Linked DNA regions of Pelodiscus sinensis. The protein of the gene in region 2 interacts with the protein of the main gene of each other region in a biochemical or structural test. Links are inferred from orthologs where the notes say so. Each region holds a gene or a part of one and is shown on either strand. Other genes may lie near its edges.

Region 1 (7,622 bases), on a different chromosome or scaffold from region 2:
CGAAAGCACTTCACCCCCCCCCCCCCCCGCACTCCCTCTGCTCCCTGCCCCGCTCCCAGCCAGCTACTCAGCAGAGCAGCCGTGTTGGCAGAAGCTGCAGTCCCCCCGCGGGCTGGGCGTCCCCAGGCTCACCTTTGTGAAGGAAGCCAGTTCGGCGTTCATGAAGGTGAGGAACTCCCGCTTGGACAGCGTGCAGCTGTCGCCTTCGCGCCCGGCGTAGCGCTGGAACACGGCCAGCAGGGACTCGATACAGCGCTCCGTTTCCGTCGGGGACATGGGGACCTTCGCCTGCAGGGGTGGAAGCACCGTGCGGCTGAGCCCGCTCCTCCCCCAGCGCCAAACCCGGGGGCCACCAGCTCCCCTGAGCCCGCTCCTCCCCCAGCGCCAAACCCGGGGGCCACCAGCTCCCCTGAGCCCGCTCCTCCCCCAGCGCCAAACCCGGGGGCCACCAGCTCCCCTGAGCCCGCTCCTCCCCCAGCGCCAAACCCGGGGGTCACCAGCTCCCCTGAGCCCGCCTGGCCGGTGTCGCCTGTTTTCCATCCATGGGCCCAGTACGTTTTGTTACATGCACTGAGGCACGCGCACCAGCCGGGGAAACCCATGCTGCCTGCGGGGGGTGCTCTGCCAATCAGCCCTCCCGGTGGCTGCCCAAGCGCCCAGCTTACAGGGAACACTGCTCCCAGCTCCAGCTGAGCCTTTCACCTGAGCACTGAAAGGAAGGGAGAGGCTGCCGGGTAAGTCAGGGACAGCACCAGGCTGCCGGATAAGTCAGGGACAGCACCAGGCTGCCTGGGCTCTGATCCCGCTTCTGGACGCAGGGCCTAGTGGTTGCAGCAGGCCCCGGGGGGTCCAGACTCCTGGCTGCTTTCCTGAGCTTCGGCAGGGGAGCTGGGTGGAGCAGGGAGACGGGAGCGGCTGCTGGACGAGTCTATTCCTGGGCCCGGCGGGCGGGGCCTGACCGCAAGGTGCCGTTGCTCAGGCGCTCCTACGCCAGCCCCATGCAGCTTTCTGGTTTCCCCAGGCCTGGTGCAATCCCTCCTCTGCACCCGCTCCCACGCTCTTCCTGCCCCCCCCCCCCCCCGGGCGCTGCGAGCCAGACCACAGCGAAGCCGCAGCTGCCAGCCCAGTGAGCGCAGTGGCGGAAAGAGGCCAGGGCAAGGAGAGGTGACGCGAGGGTGGCAGAGGCTCAGCAACGGGCCATGGGGCCTGGCAGGGCAGGGGGTGCGTCTGCACTGAGGTTGTGAAAGAGACTCCGGAACAAAGGTGCCTGGCTTTTCCACCCTCCTCATTAATATGAATTGGTTTTGGCTGCCAATCACAGGCAGGGGCGGGAAAGAAAAACACCCTCCTCTCCCCCCCACCCCCCATTTGTTGGGAGAAATTCGGAGTGAAGAGAAATGGGACTGGGGTGGGGCTGCTCCAAGCCACGTGGCCAGGGGCTAGCTGTGTCAGGACAGCCACAGGGTGAAATGCAGGCCTGCTGGCCCCAAGGGGGTGAGGCCTTTCCCCGGGGGGCACCGCTTCCTCCCTCGGCCCAGGGCGGAGAAAGGCCGCCTGGTTCTGGGGAGCAGCGAATGGCCTACGTAGCTTTTCCTCTACGAGATGCTGGTTCTACTGGGATACGGGGCCTTGCCTCTGGAGGGGGTGCTGGGCCGGGCGGCTGAGGAGCGCATGGGGAATGGGATAGAGGGGGTTCACCGGCAGGGGGTGCCAATCCAGCCCCAGGGCAGGGGGCCTAGCTAGCTCAGGGCACCAGAAAATAGCAGCCAGAGGCTCTTCCCTCTAAGCCACCAGTTCCAGTCAGACTCTGGTGATGGTGGCAGCGGTGGGTACACAGGACTGGGGCAGGGGAAAGGGAGACCAGGCTTGACCGGCCTGGGCAACGTGCACCCCTCGAGGTCCTGGCTAGGCCCCCCGGAGCAGGGCTGGCTGGCACACGTCCAAGGAGGCGGGAAGGCAGAGCAGCGCCCAGGCCCCCACCCGGGGCTCTGCTTGTGAGCAGGGGGGAGAGCCCCCTCCAGCCTCCTTCCCCCGAGCCAGGGCGGAGTGATGGGGGGACGCGCCAAAGGGCAGCTGGGCCTGAATGACTCAGTGCCAGGCAAGCTCTGAGCAGTGACTGAGCTGTGGGAGGAAGGGGGGGGGGGGCTCTGCCCCTCTCTGGCCTGGAGTCTCTGCCCCCCCCGGGACTCTTTAGCCCCCCCCCCCCCCCAGCAGCTGAATTTAGCCTTTTTTGGTGGTATGAGACAGGAAACCAGCCCCCCCCCCCCAGCCTGGCCCAGCTCCCCCGCCCCTCAGTGCCTGGCAGCCCAGGGTGCAAACCCGCAGCTGGGGCCTCCTGGGGTGGGGGGCGCCTCTGCCCAGGACGGGGGGGGGGGGGGGCTGAGTCCTGAATGGAGGGTGGGGTCTGGCCCCTGGGAAACCACCCTGCGCTGGGGCTGGGGGGGGGGGGGAGCGGAGCCGCCCTGCTGGGGCTGGGGGGGGGAGCGGACACACCCTGCGCTGGCGGTGGTGGGGGGGGGGGAGCGGACACACCCTGCGCTGGGGGGGGGGGGTCACAGCCTGGCCAGGGACCAACAACTCCTGCCCCGAGCAGCCTGGGGCCCTGCTGCAGCCTGTGACCGGCCCCGCCCTGGGGTGCTGGTACCGGGGGGGGGGGGGGGCTGCACCCTGGTTTGAGGCGGTTTCCATCGTACCCGGGGTTTGCAGTTTGGGTCGGCAGCTCTCAGCCCCCCCCCCCCCCCCCCCCCGACAGCTCCTGGGCAACTGCCAAGCCAAGCTCCGGGGGGGGGGGCTCCTGCCTCCCCCCGCCCTTCCCAGGGAGAGTTTATCGCCCCCCGGGAAAGGGGGGAGGGCCCCCCCCACTCACCATGGCTGCAGGGAGGGAGCGGACCGTGCGCGGCTCAGACTTCGGGGCGCTCTGAGCCCCGCCCGGCCCCGCCACCGCCCTTGGCTGCCTGGCCCGGCCCCTTCCCCGGCTGGGCGGAGGCTCGGAGCGGATCCGGACTCGCCGGCCTGCGAGCCCCACCCAGGAATGTGCCCCCGGCTGCCCCCCCCCCAGCGCCCCGCGCTGGCTGGGACCCCCCCCCAGAGCCCCGCGCTGGCTGGGACCCCCCCAGAGCCCCGTGTTGGCTGGGACCCCCCCCCCAGCGCCCCGCGTTGGCTGGGACCCCTCCCCCACAGCCCCGCGTTGGCTGGGACCCCTCCCCCACAGCCCCGCGTTGGCTGGGACCCCCCCCGAGCCCCGCGCTGGCTGGGACCCCCCCTCGAGCCCCGCGTTGGCTGGGACCCCCCCCGAGCCCCGCGCTGGCTGGGACCCCCCCAAAACCCCCACCGGCTGAGAGCGCCCCGCGCTGGCTGGGACCCCCCCCCAAGCCCCACATTGGCTGCGCCCCCCCCGTTTCTTTTCCTCCTTTTCTTTTAGCTTCTCTCCCCCCCTGCCCCCCCCTTCCCCTCTTGTCTCTGCTCCAAGTTCCGCTTCCCCGGCCGAGGCGGGGGGGGGGGGGGGGGTGCTAAGCTGCTGCCCGGGAATGTGCCTCTGTTTCCCCACCTGGCACCGTAACCAGCCCGCAGACGCTGGCCCCTCGGCTCCTACGCCCAGGGCACGCGAAGGCTGAGCCAGGCCAGGGCCAGTAACCGCGTACTGGACACGAGGCTCCGTGGCACTGGCCGAGCAGCACTGGGCAGAGGCGGCCGCAGGGGAGTCGGGTTGGACATCAGGGCAAGCGTCCTGCCTGGGGGGGGAACCTGGAGTAAGTTGCCGAGGGGAGGGGGGTTTGGAATCTCCATCATCTTCGTCTTCGGGATCGTTTCGAAGTGCCCCGTCCCGAAGATCACAGCCAGGGCTGCCACAGCGGGGAGGCAGCTTCCTCGTGTCCGGACCTATAGCAAGGTGAGGTTTGGGTGGGCCAGGATCTTGGGACGGCCCCCTTGGCCGCAGGCCATGCACCTCCCTGCCACCGAGCAGCCTGCATGGCCTGGGGAGAAGCCAGTGGGCGGGAAGCACTGGATCAGCCCCCAGGAGAAGCCGGAACCCCCCCCCCCCCGCCCTTAGCCCCCCTCCAAGTCTCTACCCCCTCCAAGTCCCCCTTCTCCTGATCTGCCCCAACGCCTGCATCCCACCTCATGCCCTGAGCCCCTCCTCACCCACTGCTCCTCCCACTCCACCTCCCCACATCTCCAGCCCTCTGCCCTGAGCCCCAACCCTGACTCCTGCACCCCCCCCCCAGCCCCCTGCCCTGAAGGACCTGAGCACGCCGGGTAAGACTCCCAGTTGGAGATACTTCAGAGCGGGCGGGACACATGCCTGCCAGGGCCTAGACCAGGCTATTTAACACGCGGCCATGGGTGGCCTGCGGCTCGTTGGTTTGCGGCCGCGGGGCGGTTTGGGTTCACGCAGGCTCAACACGTGGCCCGCGGGAGGGATCCTTTGAACACGGCGCCCACTGGGAACACGCTGCACAGCGGTGAGTCCATAGAACGGGCTTCTGCCGAGATGAGCCTTAGTAGTTAAATTCCTGGCCTGCCATTGCCCATGCAGAGTGCAGTCACGCGGGTGGAAATGGGGTCAATGTGGCAGTGTGTTAGTGTCAGCAGAGCTGCCTTACACGGGGCCTGCGTGTTGTGTAGTCTTGCCTTCAGCTTTGTATTCTGCCCGTCAGTGTGAAAGAAGCTGTTTGCATATATTTGCATAGATATTTGCATGTAAATGCCACCACATGTAAGTTGCGGCCCTCGGCATGTGCTGTGAGCGTCCGAAGTTGAGTTGCCCTGATGTAGCCGGTGCTGGGTCCTGCCGAGAGGGCCGGGACTGGACTGGACGACCTCGCGAGGGCCCTTCCAGTCCTAGGGGTCTATGAATCACAGTGGGAGTTGGGACCCTAAATACTGGGGTGAGTTGGAGCCTCGGGGCGTCAGGGCATCAGCAGGGCTAGAATCCAGCCCCAGAAGCCCAGGCCTCTGCTCTTTTGGCAGCAGGAGACTCCCCATCAGCTGTGGGCAGTGTCAGGCCCCTGACACACAGGTGAGCAGTCGGGTTTCTGAGCTGCAGAAGACAGGAGCTGCCCGCACACCAGCTCATTTCGCAGCTGACCTGAGTCTCGGGAGGGGGCGGAGTCGGCAGTGTGTTTGAGGAGGCTTGTGGCTTTTCCCAGGGGACTGGGGAGGATCCACAGGACAGGCGGGACTGTTCCTCACAGCAGCTGTTCAAGTGCAGCGCGGGTGGCACGGGGTAACTGCCAGCAAGACGTGGTCTGAGGGGTAAGCGCCCCCAAGCCTCACCTGAGAGCAGGTCCCTGCAGTGCCGCCCAGGCTAAAGAGCCTTAGGGTGGGAGGGGAAACCGAGGCGCCGCACTGGAAGTGACTTGGCTGAAGGGCGCGCAGGCAGACAGTGGAAGATCTGGGATTACAGCGCTGCTGACCCGACTGTAATCCAGTATCGGAGCTGCTGCACCCCGGGGCTGCTGGTAGGTGCCGCTGAGCCGGGTCAGATAACAGTCCCTGAGGCCCCGTGTCCTGACCTCTGACCGTGGCCAAAGCCAGGTGCTTCAAACGGTGATTATCAAGTGACCCATCCCCTGGCAATCAGACGCCAGGGACCCCCGGAGCAGGGGCTGCATCCCTGACCATCTTGGCTAAGAGCTATTGATGGGCCCAGCCACCAATAACTAGCTCTGTTTGGAGCTGTTATACTTTTAGCCTTCACCGCGTCCCCTAGCAGGGAGTTCCACAGGTCGGCTGTGTGCTGCATGGAGAAGCATTTCCTGTTGGTTTGAACCTGGGGGGGGGGGGCAGAGCTGTCCCAGTGCCCATGCCGGGGGGCTTCATCTTCTCATTGCTCTGACTTGGGGTTGGGGGGTTGTACCTGCTTTGCAGGCAGCCTGTGCCCAGGCCAGCTTTCCTGGGCCTGGCGCTGTTGATTCCACGCGGCGTGTGGATTCCGCCCCGTGCAGAGAGCCAGCGCGAGGCCCAGCTGTGACGAACGGCCCTCGGAGCTGGGCCTGGGAGGGGCCTGCTCTCTGCCTAAGGGGAGTTGCAGCTGGAACGGGCTCCGCGTCACTTGAAATGGGTTTCCTGTGTCACTTGCACAAGGGGGTTTGCAACACCGCACCGTGGCTGTGGGGAGGAACGGCTCCAGCCGCTGCTTCCCAGTGTCACCTGCCTGAGGCGGCTCCGCAGCATCCTAGTGATCCCCTCCCCCCCGAGATGCATCAAACCGTGCCGGGCGGGTGGGGGGGAGATCAGGGAATGTTCCTGCTCTTGACTCACACGGTGGCCGCTCCGCTCCCTCGGCCGTAACGCCCCGGAACTCAGTGATGCGTAGGGGCGCCAGCCACGCGGTGACTAAAGAGTTAATCTCAGGCAGGTGGAGGTGTCGGCAGGGAGCCAGAGGAGCCCATGGAAACAGGTACATTGGAGAGAACCCTGCCGGCTGTTTTCGTTGGGTTCTTAGGCCCGGGACGGGGGGACCGATGAATTGAACAGGCAGAAGTCCCAGGCCCGCGGGGGATACGGGGTAGGGGGAGGCCTGGACCGCGCAGTGCGGCTCTGTGAGCAGACGGGAAAGTGTCGATTGAGCGGCGGGCAGGGTGGCGCCTTTATCACGTCTCTTGGCTTTGTCCATAAAAACCCCTCTCTGGGCGGCGCTGCCTTGGGCTCGTGTGCTGGGAAGTAGCAGGAGGCCTGCCCCGCGGCCTCACGGAGAGCTCAGCCGCCTTCCCTCTGCAGGCTCGCTTGTGCGGAAGGGACGGGGGGGGGGGACCTTGCAAAGGGAATTAAAACCAATAGCAAAAGGTTTTATAGCCATATAAATAGGAAAAAAACAAAAAAAGAAGTAGGACCATTAATTACTAAGGCTGGAGTGGAGGTTAAGGATAATCTAGGAATGGCCCAATAGCTAAACAAATACTTTGCTTCAGTCTTTAATGAGGCTAATGAAGAGCTTAGGGATAATGGTAAGTTAACAAATGGGACTGAGGATAAGGAGGTAGATATTACCATATCTGAGGTAAAAGCCAAACTTGAACAGCTTAATGAGAGTAAATCAGGGGGCCCAGATAATCTTCATCCAAGAATATTAAAGGAACTGGCACATGAAATTGCAAGTCCATTAGCAAATTTTTTTAATAAATCTCTAGACTCAGGGGTTGTACCATTTGACTGGAGAATTGCTAATATAGTTCCGATTTTTAAGAAAGGGAAAAAAAGCGACCCGGGTAACTATAGGCCTGTTAGTTTGACATCTGCAGTATGCAAGATCTTGGAAAAAATTTTGAAGGAGAAAGTAGTTAGAGACATGGAGGCTAATGGCGATTGGGACAAATTACAACATGGTTTTACAAAAGGTAGATTGTGCCAAACCAACCTGATCTCCTTTTTTGAGAAAGTAACAGATTTTTTAGATAAAGGAAATGCGGTGGATCTGATCTACCTTGACTTTAGTAAGGCATTTGATACAGAACCACATGGGGAATTATTGGTTAAATTGGAAAAGATAGGGATTAATATGAAAGTTGAGAGGTGGATAAGCAACTGGTTAAAGGGGAGACCACAGCGGGTCATACTGAAAGGTGAACTGTCAGGTTGGAGGAAGGTTACTAGCGGAGTTCCTCAGGGATCAGTTTTGG
Region 2 (6,964 bases):
TTCCAGAAATGTTTGTGCGCAAGAGGGCCAGTGTAGACAGCTAAAAGCTGTTTTGCGCAAAAAAGCCCCGATGGTGAAAATGGCAATCGGGGCTTTCGTGTGCAAAACCGCGTCTAGATTGGCAAGGATGCTTTTCCACCAAAAGTGCTTTTGCGGAAAAGCGTCCGTGCCAATCTAGACGTTCTTTTACGCAAATGCTTTTAACGGAAAAACTTTTCCGTTAAAAGCATTTGCGGAAAATCATGCCAGTCTAGAGGTAGCCTAGGAGTCTTGGGTGATGGAACAAGCAAAAGGCTACTCTACAGTTGGTGAAAGCAACACACACACACACACACACACACACACACACACACACACACACACTTTTGGTTCAGTGAAAAAAACATAGGCCTATTTCAATGTCCAAATACCTGATTGGATACTCTCAAAGGAAACTTAGTTTTCAGCCATAAAGACCCTGTGTGGTTGAAAGACATTGGTCCCAGGCCTCAGTTCTACCTGAAGATTTTTAAATTTATGCAACCCTCACCCTAGTTGAGAAGCAATAGAGCAATCGTAATGTTGATATTAAGGACTAATACCACTAATAAATAGAGAGGCTGCCATGGCTCTTATGCCACCCCCCATCCTTGCTGCTCAAATATGGGGGTGTGGGTAGTAAAGGGTTGTAGCTGGTGGGTCCCAGATGCTGTCTCAGCTTCTCAGATGACTGCCCTCTGCATTGCAAGCCCATGTTCAAGAAAGTGCAAAGGTAACTTAAACCCACTTTTGCAGTACCACTCTTGAGTTGCACGAGCAAGTTAAAAAACAACATTAACTACAGTTAGAAGTTTTTGAGCTGAATCCTCCTTCCAATTTCCTGACACACTGCTTCTTGAGAGGCACGTAGGGCCTGGAATCTCATACTGTAGTGAACATAATGTTGGGGGTGATGGCAGCTATGCTAACCACTCCCCTCTTCACAACAATCATATACACACCTACACAGGTTTTGAGGTTATGATGCAGGTGAAGAGGAGCCAAGTAGAGCATAGCTGTGCTCTGTAAACTCCTAGGCTGCTCTAATTTACATTCAGACTGAGTTGACACGTCATGAGTTTCAGGTAGCTGTAAGTCATTCTTTATGGTCCCTCCCTCCTTTGTTAAGCAGCTCTTGGTGCAAGGAAAAGTCTTGTTTCTCATTTCCCTTTTCCACACAGACATTTTGGCAAACAAATCCATCCATTTTATTCGAATAACCTATTATTGGAGTTTTTAAAGACAATTCTACAAGGTAAACAACACTCTGGCTGGGTTAAATATCTTACTCTGATTGCTCTTTGGTTTGTTCTGTTGATTCAGAGAGTTAAGAAATAAGTAATCCTACCTGATGAAATTTCTTATCAGCCAAGTTTAAACAAAGTATGTTGACTGGAGCAACATGATAGTTTACTATCACAGATAATAAAAGACTGTAGGAGTGCAGGAAGATACCTCCGGGGTCTAGGAGGGTGCCCTTGAGAGTGAGAAGCAAAGTTTAGTATTAGGAGAGGTGGGTAAGAGAGGAAAAGCAGAAAGAGGATTTCAATTTGCTATGAAGAGAAATAGGAAAGCTGGCTGGGCTCCTGCCAGGATTACTAAAAGGTGGCACCTAAACTTCCCTCCACTCCAAAGCTCAGGCTTGGGCACTACTGTATATAGAAATGACCAAGGGAGAAAAAGTGGCCTAGCTGCAAATACCATAGCAGAAGAGAGACAGTTCTTCCTGCTTCTAATAAATCCTTGAAAAGTTAGTTGGCTGAGTATCGGAAGTATGGGTAGAATGTATCCCACTATTCAAAACTAGTAATATTAAACAGCAGATATATACTTTTATATTTTTGTCTTTGAAAGGAAAGCAAGAAATTTAACTTGATCTTACATTATTTTTTAAACTCCATTGACTTTAGTGGGATTAATCGTGATGTATGCCATTCTGAAATTGGAATCAAGCCAAACCTTTGCATACCACATTTCATATTGGGGTTTGCCTCACCAGGAAATGCTAGTATGAGGGATGGTGTGGACACATTAAGAGGGCCTTGAAAGAAAGTCTAATAACACTGTTAAACCCCATTAGCAAAACGTTTTCATAGTGTAGACACCAGAGGTTTTTAGATGGGCCTTCTGTCTATGCCTCTTGTACATTCTTGCTAACACCCAGGAAATATTTCTTCACTTGGATGGATACAAAAAAAAAAAAAACTTGAAAAACCTGTCCTCAGGGACACACAAAGAATGGCAGCACTGAGAGAAACAGCCTCACCCTTGGGTAAAAAATTAATGGAAAGTCTGAGCTGACCGAGAACCAAATTCTGGAGCCCTTACTCATACGCAGTTTCTCTTACATCAGTGTTTAATTAAAAAACGGATTTTTTTCAGAGCCACCTCATTAAAAATACTGGGAGTTTTTTTCCCTGGCTTACATTTACAGCTGAAGTCTGTGAAGCAATGAATACTGTTTTTAAGCAATTATTGTCAAAGTAAAAGCAGCTTTCACAAATCATTTCCATATAAGGTATGTTAGTTTCCTGTTACTCATAGTTTTGCTGTAAAAATAGCTTTCCAGAGCAGCCATTAAAAAACAGAAACTAGCTAATTCCAAGTAAATTAGCTCTCCAATCCTTAGTATTTCCTCAAGATTTCTTGTGCACTTCAAGCAAAGAAGAACAGGGACAGTTCCAACCCCAGAATGTAAATGCAATAATTTAAAAAGGAAGAGATGACCACACCCATCTCTGCCTGTGCCAATCAACACAATCAACAGACAGCTGCACAAAATCACTTGGTAAGTAGTGCATATTTATTAAAGTTTGCTAAATCAACAGAGACCCACAAAGAACAAAAAAGTGCATACCTTTTGTTTCACACAGCTCAGAAAGTGTTACTTCTCTGGAAGCTGCAGCCTGGAACAGGAAAGCCTAAGGCTGGTGATTTTTATAAAGCCGTTGGGTGACCACACCTAGCAACCACAGAATATTTCTACAACTCAAGTGATTGGCTCATATTTGCCTGAGGACTAAATGTGGGTTCTATCCAAAAGCACAGGCACACACACACACACACACAAATGCCTTGCAAAATTATTCACTGGAGTTAACTAAGGGCAGATTTCAGTGTGAAAGAAAGAAAGAAATGTTTTCGGACTTTTTTTTAAACCTATCTGGACTTACATCCTCTGCTGATGTAAATTGGCATAGGTTTGTTCAAGTGAATACATTTTAAAGCAGTGTGAGATAAATAAAGCTCAATGCTGAATAAAATCTTAGCCCTTTCATTTTTTGACTCATCTCATTGTACATTTAAAAAAAAATCAAGACAGAAAGCAGCAGCACTTTAGTGCTGCAGGGAGGCCGAGACCAGAAAAGAACACCCTATGTCTTCAGTGCAAATTGGTGGTCAATGACCTTGCTCTCACTGGGGTTGATCTTGGAGCAGAAATCGGCCAATACCCATGGATAATTTTTTTTTTTCATCTCACACAAGATTGGGCAAAGAAAAGGAGACGGGCCATGATCATTGCAGAGAACCAAGATGTGAAAATAGGCAGGTTTAATAGATGTGCCACTTAAATATACAAGTGGGCCTGCCCTGCAACATTCAGATTTAGCTTTCAGTCCTGAAGGAATTCTGCAATTGTTAAATCTGGAATTCCCCTAGAACTGAGATTTGCAATTCAAATGGTGAGAGATTTGATTCCAGACAGAGGAACCACTGCCTATTTTGCTGACCAGTAGTACCTCATCATGTTATTCTCCCCCTGTCTATCTGTACCCTCTTGTTTTATGTTTACTTATAAGCACTTTGGAGGCAGGAACTGGTTTTTTTTCCTATGCTTGCATAGGGAGTCTTAGTCCATGATGTACAGTACTGACACTCTACTGCAATACAAATACATTAAACAAATATAATGCTATTGAAGTTCATATACAAGTTTGGATTTTTACTTCAAATTCCTCTCACAGACTTGCTACAGTTTGCGAGCTTTCAGATTTATGTGTGTTCTGTTTTGGGGTCCATCTTTAGTAAGGGATTTTTTCCCAAGAAAGCCCAGAAATTCAAAGTTTTTATAAGGTGCTAGCAAAATATTATATAATAGCAAGTCACTCAAGAAAGACCTAAGACATATACTTTGTGCAATGCAAGAATACATACAGTGTGATTCAGTTTGAAATGTTCCTTAAAGACATATATGATGAAGTGTGACATGCAATCAAATCTACAATTTGCATATCAGAAGATATGCCTCACATCTCAAATGAGGCAAACAGGTCAGGTATCTGAGACATGCTGCAATTAAATTTACATTTAAAGCCAGCTAGAAAAGCTAATATGGAAAGTGCAGATGAGCCCTCTTCTTTCTTTCTGCCTTCCATCCAAATTGGAGGCATTAAACATCAGAGGAGAAAAGTTAATAAACAATTAATAAAATGAGGTTGTGTTCTCATTTCAATCTGGGATCTGCACCCATAATACCTTGTGCATATGAGATGTAAGAATACAGGCTGTTGGTGAGAATGAAGGGCAGTTTTCTTCTGACTGAGATAGGGATGTTAGATATCAATTAGTTGAATAATTGTGTAACCACATCAAAACTTTAGCAGTTACACAATTATTCAGTAGTCCCCAGTCATGGGGCCGACAGCCAGTGCACTCCCAGCCTCATTCCCGGGGAGCCCCCTACCACTCCACTCTGCTGCCTCTATACAGAGGAAACAAGGGGAGGGAAGAGAATGCTTTAAGCCCAAGCTTATCAATTAATGGTGTAGTCAACTACAGGTTGACATCCCTAGAATGAGATCTATTGAGGCATCATTTGCTTTGGTACTAGAGGAAGCAAGAAAGATCAGAATAGGGTTGGTGAAGGAATGGAACAAAGATTATTCTGAATAAGTCAACAGGGATAAATCTGCTAAAACAAAAGTTTATACTGTGATGTAGGGCAAAGGCATCTAAGATTCATAGTCATTGAAAATACGATAGATCTTTCTTTTGCCAGTGAATGACTAACCCATTTTGACTTTCCGAAGTTCTGTTCTTCATATTTTTAAATGTCTCAAGACACAAAGCAGCATGAGTGTTTTGTAGCAAACATCTTTCCTAACCTAAAATTCACTGACTGGTTCAGTCAGTTTTTCCACTCCCCTATTTCATCATGTTACTGTAAAGCCAGGAGAGCAAGATTTCAGAACTAGTGAAAAAGTGTTTTTCAGTCTCAAAAGAAGGAAAGAAACTGTGATCACCCATAGAGGAATCACACACACTATGGGTCACTCGAGGTACAAAAATGAGATGGAATCCCAACTCTCTGGTTTCAGCATGGGTCTCTCAAGTTATCATGCAGCTTATGAGACACCCTCTACTTATTACAGCAATGGAGGCAGACACATTTCCACTTGGAAATTTTTTGCCACTATCTCTGAGGCTTCCAATATCCTGAGCTATTTATGTCAGTATTATAACTATAGACAAAACTCTAAAAACAATGAGTAGTACCTTAGGATACATCAGCTATTTTGGAAATACTCCAAAATAGCTCATTTCAAAATAGCGCGTCTACACTACAGGGAAACCTCAAAATTAATCCAAGGCAGGCTTCCCTAATGTGGACTTACTACCTTGATTTAAACCCTCAGGAGGCAGTAGGAAGTAATTACTTTGAATGTCTCTGGGAAGGAGCTATTTCAAAATAGCAGCAGTGGAGCATCCACACTACAGCTATTCCAAAATAGCTCTCTCAAAATAGGCATTATTCCTCATGAAATGGGGTTTACAGAAATCGGAATAAGCCATCTGTTATTTCAAAATAACGGAATTGCTGTGTAGACGCTTGCACTGTTATTTTGAAAGTGTCAGTTATTTTGTAATAACTGTGCTTGTTTAGATGCCCCCTTTAGAGACTAACAAAAACGTATAGAAACACGAGCTTTCATGGGTAAAGCCCACTTCATCAGATGAATTGGAGTAAATGTAAATGGCAGTAGGACCCAGCAGTCTCAGTCATGATTGGAGACCCCCTTAGGATAGCTGCAGTAGAGTCTCTCCCCAAAAGAGCTCAAACAAACATTGTACCAGTAGCTACTCGTTGGTATCAGAATACAAAAATGGCCCATCCTTAGAAGTAAATTCTGCTAATCCTTTATGGCAGGACCCATAGGTGGAGATGTCAGTGAATCTCTTCCCAGTATATACACCAACTTTCAGCAGCAGCAGCATACACTACAGGGAACAGAACAGCTCATTTCTGAAGCAGAAATAAAAGAAGTCTGCTGCTGAACACTCTTGAGCTTTTGTGAACCATTCTGCTTTCATCTGCACTCTGGAGGCACAAAGGCTTGAGGAAATTTCACTCTTCCCCTATAGCTCTGCTTCCAGGAGTCCCATATCTGAGGGAGGGGGAAGGGGAATTGAATCCACAGTATCATAATCACTTAGCACCAGCTTAAATGCCAATGTGTGTAGTAATTTTGTATGTTATGTATTTTGTATATGACATTGTCATCAGTGATTGTAGTGTGTGTATTCTAGAAGGATAACGATTACAAGAGAGGGAAAACATTTGTGTTTTTCCTCTATAACTTGTACTATGACAGTAATGCCTCATGCTGTATATTGCTACTTATCAAACAATCCTAGAAAATGAGCCTTTGAACATGTAACAATATCTTCATTCTAGAAAAGAGTGAGGATAAAATCATCAAGTAATCTAAGTCAAATGACTGCATTTTTTTCATGGCTGTATTGATTGTACTGTACAGTACAGCTCTGTGCTAGTGACTCACTACTCCAATTTCAGGAAGACCATGAGTCAGAGAACTCCACCCACCAGGAGTAGGGGGGGAGTAGGGGAAGCATAACTCCAAACAGCTACAGAGGGAGAAACCCAGAAAATGACAACTGTTTTGATTTCAGTACTTTCGGTACATAGAAACAAAAGGTGATAGGC

What was found.
Region 1: the proteins of ANXA1 (region 2) and protein S100-A11-like form a complex in vitro, tested with the Homo sapiens proteins (2 studies listed by BioGRID). The link is inferred for Pelodiscus sinensis from reciprocal best matches to the Homo sapiens genes ANXA1 and S100A11.

What each region holds. Positions count from the first base shown.
Region 1 is NC_134734.1:25,012,738-25,020,359, reverse strand, and holds the start of protein S100-A11-like, read right to left. Parts: upstream 3,005-7,622; 5' UTR 2,870-3,004; coding exon 2,867-2,869; intron 289-2,866; coding exon 133-288; intron 1-132. UniProt on the Homo sapiens protein: Facilitates the differentiation and the cornification of keratinocytes.
Region 2 is NC_134716.1:34,503,146-34,510,109, reverse strand, and holds the start of ANXA1 (annexin A1), read right to left. Parts: upstream 3,015-6,964; 5' UTR 2,876-3,014; intron 2,807-2,875; exon of another isoform or gene 2,575-2,806; intron 1-2,574. UniProt on the Homo sapiens protein: Plays important roles in the innate immune response as effector of glucocorticoid-mediated responses and regulator of the inflammatory process. Has anti-inflammatory activity.